2 linked regions of the Oryctolagus cuniculus genome follow. The protein of the gene in region 1 purifies or fractionates together with the protein of each later gene. This does not show direct contact. Links are inferred from orthologs where the notes say so. Each region holds a gene or a part of one and is shown on either strand. Other genes may lie near its edges.

What was found. The genes of interacting proteins can lie anywhere in the genome.
Region 2: the proteins of COPS5 (region 1) and CDKN1B purify together in Homo sapiens (affinity purification with western blotting; 11 studies listed by BioGRID and IntAct, with this or other methods). This does not show direct contact. The link is inferred for Oryctolagus cuniculus from reciprocal best matches to the Homo sapiens genes COPS5 and CDKN1B.

What each region holds. Positions count from the first base shown.
Region 1 is NC_091437.1:92,672,087-92,674,292, forward strand, and holds part of COPS5 (COP9 signalosome complex subunit 5), read right to left. Parts: intron 585-2,206; coding exon 436-584; intron 1-435. UniProt on the Homo sapiens protein: Probable protease subunit of the COP9 signalosome complex (CSN), a complex involved in various cellular and developmental processes.
Region 2 is NC_091440.1:110,363,093-110,367,096, reverse strand, and holds the start of CDKN1B (cyclin-dependent kinase inhibitor 1B), read right to left. Parts: upstream 2,801-4,004; 5' UTR 2,156-2,800; coding exon 1,681-2,155; intron 1,125-1,680; coding exon 1,003-1,124; 3' UTR 995-1,002; intron 1-994. UniProt on the Homo sapiens protein: Important regulator of cell cycle progression. Inhibits the kinase activity of CDK2 bound to cyclin A, but has little inhibitory activity on CDK2 bound to SPDYA. Involved in G1 arrest. Potent inhibitor of cyclin E- and cyclin A-CDK2 complexes.

The DNA.
Region 1 (2,206 bases):
GATTTAAGACTTTATGAAAAAAACCCTGAAATTTGTTAAGTTTCAACATCTCTTAATTTAATTCTACAGATGCTTATATGACAATAAACCAAGAGATTCTTTTGGCAAAGGCTTGCTTTTATTTATTTTTTTTTAATTTGAAGACCTAAAGGAAGATTAGTTTCTTTCTTTGACTTTGTAGCTGAACTAGAAGAGATGACTGGGAGTATTCCATGTCACTGCCTACATCTTTGATTTAAGCCTTTAATGTTCTGACCTAATGACTCCTAAATTTTCAGAGTTAAAATCTGCATTTGACAACTTTTAAAGGTCCCAAGAAGTTTAATGTTCAGATATTATTCTGACTAATTTGAACTGTAAGGAATTTGGTTCCTACTATTATTTGAGAATTGAAAGTAAAAAGAATCTTTTTCTTATTCTTATTCTTATTCTTACCTGTCTCTTGTGGCTTTGGCAAGTTTGTCCTCTGATTTTCGGTCATGTGTTTCTAAACCCAACATGAAACTTCCTCGTCCCAGCTGGGCTTCTGACTGCTCTAACTTTTCAGACAAATCAAAGACCTGACCAGTGGTATAGTCTGCATTCTGTGGAGAAGATGATATTGTATTAGTACACAAGTCTACCATTAAAAACATAAAAAAAATATACATACACACATATATATTTTAATGTAAATTAATTTTCTTCTATAAAGAACATTTCATTTACAAAGAATCCTCCTATAAGATCTGAGTGGATGATTATTGAAGTAAGAAGTCAAATTACACGTGCAAAATCTTGCAACTTTTTCAACTTGTCAAGTGGTTCAATGTAGATGTGTTCTCTTTTTAATTTCAAGATTAAATTTGGAATTTTTCTCTTCGACTCTAGGTCTAATGGTGATTATTATTACAAGAGGCCTTGGCCTACACATATCAAGTCCAGCTCCTAACCTGCTGCAGATTAGTTGGGAGGCTTGGGACATGCCTGCAGGTCCTCTTCAGAAAATGGGAAAAGGGAGCAATTTCTATGTTAAGGCTATTGTGAAAAATTAATGAAATAATGTGTGAAAGCTCTTAGGCTGGTCCATGGCACCCACTAAATGCTTAATAATTGTTAGCTAGTTTTGTTACTATTCTTTTATAATTTGTACTTAGGATAATATTTTTAAAAATAACCTTTGGTTTTGCTTAATAAATTATTACAGAAAATAATTTAATAAATTACAGAAAATTTGGAAAATGTAGAACAATATAAAGAAAATAGACATAGCTATAAGCCCTTCACCTCACTCATATGCATTCTATATCTGGGAAACTAGAATATTATATATTGTATTTTTATAATATGACATACTTTTTAAAAAGAAAAAAGTTATATGTCTACATTACTGTAATATCTTTAAAGAGATTGTTATAAGATATCCATTTTTAGTTTTAGTCTAAAATATAAAGAAAACCTACAAAGTTGTAAAGCATATATTACATTTCTTTTCTTAATCTTTTGTAGAAGAGAATGAGGATAAATAAGCCATTTGGCGAAAATCAGCATGCTATTTTAGTTGCTCAGTTTGAAAGACAGCTTACAAGAAATACAGTTTAACTATCAAACACAAAATGTTATAGCTATCATCAAAGTTACCACAGAAGGCCCTTTAAAATGCTACCAGATCTCCTAATGATTGTTCAAAGTTAGGGTGATTTTAAAATGATGCAATTATATTTACTTTGCCTAAATGAATCTAAATGGTTTAGGAAATCAACATTTATCCCACAGACTTGGAGAAAAGCCTAAGGTTTACAGACTTTTCCACATTCAGAAGATTAGCTACAGAGCCCATAAAAATGTAAGCTAGCAGAAATGGTTATACTAGTAAACTGACAGTAAAATATACCCAATCACATTTCAAATGCCCAGAAAATTAATACAGGAAACTAATTTCTTAAAAAAATTTTTCTCTGGTAGCTTTTAGGTTTTATGCTATAATTAACTGCTTTAGTTGGAGAAAGAGAAAGTGAACATAATTTACATGTTTTCTTAAAATGCAGCAGTGTCCTATATGAGTATATAAAATCACAGAAAGGGAGAAAATGTAATTTAACCTTTTCTTGATTATTAATGTCCTCATATATGCAGTGCTGGAATACAGGGACAGCCGTGTGGCTGAGTAGGTAGATCTGCTTGCCTTTATACAAAGGTTCAGACTGCTCTGGTCTTACACAGTGTT
Region 2 (4,004 bases), on another chromosome or scaffold:
GAGAGATCACACTCCTTGTGTATAGGAAGCCACCAAACTATTAATATAAGTAGTTTGATCAGGAGGGACAGCCAATCCAGGTAAAGTTAGAAGCTGAATTAGTCAAATGAGCCATCCACCGTGATCAGATTTTAGTATATGGAAAACACTTCATTTTTCCTGTACTGGTAAACCTACCCTCACCAGTCCTGACATCTCCCCTACAAATATCCAAATCATGCTGGTAACAGTGTGATTAGCATACGCGCTGACGTGTTCCTGGACTGCTTACTGTGCCACAGTGAACTTAACTTCTGCTTTGCAGCTTCTGTGTTATCAGAAATTCCGTAGGAATCTGAGTATATTCGAGCTTTCCACTTTTGGCTTTTTTTTTTTTTTTTTTAATACACAGGTTCCTTTTCTCTGACCAAAACATATTCAATAAAAAGGGAAAATGACAGTTTACAAAAATAATAAAGATAAAAGAACACAATCTCTCACCTCCCTGGTCACATTTCTAACCCCTCACATAAACCAACTCTTCTCTCCACGTTTAAATTTTGACTGCGTGTTGGCCAATTTTCCATGTATGGCTCAAAACCTGTTACTGTCTCCACTTGAATAGGCTAGGAAGTGAGCTCTGGAACAGGGGGACTGAGGGGGCACCCCAGTTCTTGCTCAGATGGAAGGAGGAATCTATTGTTCCCAACCCGTGTGGGTGTGACTCACGGAAAATGACAAGTACTTGCTCTAGGCGGTTAGTGTTTCAAGGGAAAATCATCCCCAGAGAGAGAAACCTTGAAGGATTACAGTATCCCAACGGCTGGTGACTTCCAGCCAGCCCCATGGCTACTTTTTTGCCTTTTCAAAATATAAACAAAACCAAACCCTGCAAGCACCCAGCAGCTGGCTATGGGTATTAGGGGGAGGGGGGACCGGTCCTGCAGCCCAGCTAGGGTGTCAGAGCTGGGCTTGTTTTTCTGGGGCGCGGGGTGTCCGTTTTTGATGAACCCACCGAGTTGTTTACGTCTGACGTCTTCGGAGGCCCGGCTTCTTGGGCGTCTGCTCCACAGAGCCGGCGTTCGGGGAACCGTCGGAACCGTTTTCTTCTGTTCTGTTGGCTCTTTTGTTTTGAGGGGAAGAATCTAAAGGCAAGAGGAGATTATTTAAAGGACACACACACACACACAATCTTCAGTAAAAGAAACAATGGCCGGCACAAGTTGGCCCAGTGGCCAGGGGGATGAAAACCCACCGCCTCCACGCACGGTCCTGGACGGGGCGGCCCCCAGGAAGGTGGTCTGCACCACACAGAAATGGGGCCCCCGCACCTTCCTCTACCCTGACCCGGTGTGTGTGTGTGGGGGGGGGTGTTGGAGGCCGCTGATCAACATCCCGACCTTGTCACCTACCCAGGGGTAGGAAGGAAAGGCGCTGTTTTCAACCTGGGCAAAACGATCAGATCCTACAATCTCCCGGCTTCTGCCTTTATAAACAGACCAGCAGCCTCCCGGGTAACATTCAAAAACCCGAGATCAATAAAAAAGTTCGTTCCCTCCACCCCCCACCCGCGCCCCGAGCTCTCCCATCAGAATAGGCTGGAGTTAAAGAGCCGCAAGCAGGCAGAGCGGGAGCGCGCACCGACGGACCGACGGACTGACGGAGGACAGAGGCGCCTTTCGGCTCCGGGAGGGTCTTTACCGTCTGTGGCAGGTCGCTTCCTCATCCCCGCGCACTGCTCGGCCAAGGCCGTGGGGCCGTCGGACTGCTCAGTCTTTGGGTCCCCCAGGTGCGTGTCCTCGGAGCTGGCCTGGGACGCGGCCACCGGCGCCGCGGGGCGGACCCCGCCGGTGTCCTGGCTTTCCTGCGCCGGCACCTTGCAGGCGCCCTTGGGCGGCCGCGGGGGTCTGTAATAGAACTCGGGCAAGCTGCCCTTATCCACCTCCTGCCATTCGTACTTGCCCTCCAGGGGCTTGTGATTCTGGAAGTCGAAATTCCACTTGCGCTGGCTCGCCTCCTCCATGTCTCTGCAGTGCTTCTCCAGGTCCCGGGTCAGCTCTTCGTGATTCACCGGGCCGAAGAGGTTTCTGCAGGCGGAGGGCTTGGGGTGCTCCGCCTGCCTGGCGTCCGTGCGCTCCAGGCTTGGGCTCCCGTTGGACACGCGCACGTTGGACATCTCGCCCCGTACCGGGTCTGGACCCCGCCGCCTCTTCTCTGGCGCGCGCTCTCCGCAAAACAAAACCGAACGCAGCCCAACGCTCCGACGCTGCGGAGCCCCGCGAATGCGCTCAGAGCCCGGGGAGATGGACCCAGACCAGTCGCCGCCCGCGCTCCTGGGGGCGCGCAGGGTGCGGGAGCCGAGCGGGGACGCCCCGGCCGCGCAGCCCAGGCCGCCGCCGCCGCTGCCGATCAGGAGTGCGGGCGCGCAGGAGGGCGGGGAGGGGAGGGGAGGAGCGGGGAGGGGTGACCCGGCCGGTCCGAGTCCAGGCCGGAGCGAGTCCGCGGGTCTCCGCAAGCAGCCGCTCTCCAAACCTTGCGCCGACGGAGCCGCGCCGCGGGGAGAGAGAGTGGAGAGAAGGGAGGGGGCGTAAAACACCCCGAAAAGACGAGCCCCCTTTTTTTAGTGGCCCAATATGGCGGTGGAAGGGAGGCTGACGAAGAAGAAGATGATTGACACGGCGAGTCTATTTAAACAGAGGAGGAGATCCATTGGTCGCGGCGCCGGGAGCCGCCCCGCCGAGGCTGGCGAGCGCGGCCTTAAGGTGGCCCCGGCGCGGGGGCCGGCGCCCGCCCGCGTCCCCGAGCGCCGCCTGCAGACGGGGGCTGCGCGGCTGCCAGCAAACCTGCTGCGCCGGCCGCGGAGAAATTAAAAAGGCGACGGGCCCCGAAGAGCCAAACGGCCGGCCGCGGCGCTAGGGAGGGGCCTGGGCGGCGGGCCGGGCGGGGCCGCCAGGGTCTAGGACGCGCAGCCGCCCCCAAGCGCCGACCTCCCGGCTCCTCGCCAGGGCAACCACGGGCCCGGAGCCCAGGGGCCCCGAGGGTCGCCCCCGCGCCTCGTTCTGAGGCCCGCCGCCCAGCTGGTTCTGCTGGCGCCCGCCAAGCCGGGGGTGGGGGTGGGGGTAAGAGCCCTGCCCTTCCCTTCCCCATCCCCCACCCCCCACCTCACCCCAGCCCAGCTCGGCTCTCCCCCGCAGCTCCCACTTCGCGGGCAGGCCCCCTGCCCGGGTGCCTTCGCTGGGGCTGTAGAGGGTGAGACCAGTGGTGAGCTCACCCCTCACCACTAAGTCCCAGAGCAGGCAGGGAAGGGGCTCGGGGAAGCGAGCCAGGGCAGACGACTTTCTCTAAAGTAGCCGGAAGTGGACGCAGCGTTTAGAACGCGCTTGGAACCCAAGTTCTCCCTCAATAGAAAGGAGAAAGGACCTCGGGATGGACAACCCCCGTCTGGCCTCGCCAGCCCCTACGTGCACTTTGTTGCTGTCCCTAAACCCGGCTTTTAAAAACCGAGGTTGCAGCCCCCAAGTGCAGGGAGGGACGGGTGTGGAGAACTGTTCCTATTTCTTCCACCTGGGCCCAGCCCCTTGCTTCTCCCGCGGGATTCGCTGCAGCACCCGACTCGGAGCTGTATTTGGATGAAGGCTGAACTCTCTGAACGACGTTCAGCTGCGTGCTTTTAGATGCCTGGGTGAAAACACTCCAAGTCCACGTGATAAAGTGAGTTCACACAGCCCTGTCCTAACACCCGATGTTATTCGGGCATTTCTCTCGGCTCTCCTTTGCAACTTGACGTTTACCTGCCAGGTTGGTCTTCTGCAGGTGGTGGAAGTTGAGACAGGCCGGGGGCAGGGCCGTCCCGTTGGAGACAGCTCAGTCTGCGCATCACCCATTCACAACTTGTGGCATCTTACTGTGGGATCAGTTAGTTAAGTCTTATTGGACACCGAAGCCGGCGCCGTGGCTCAATAGGCTAATCCTCCACCTTGCGGCGCCGGCACACCGGGTTCTAGTCCCGGTTGGGGCGCCGGATT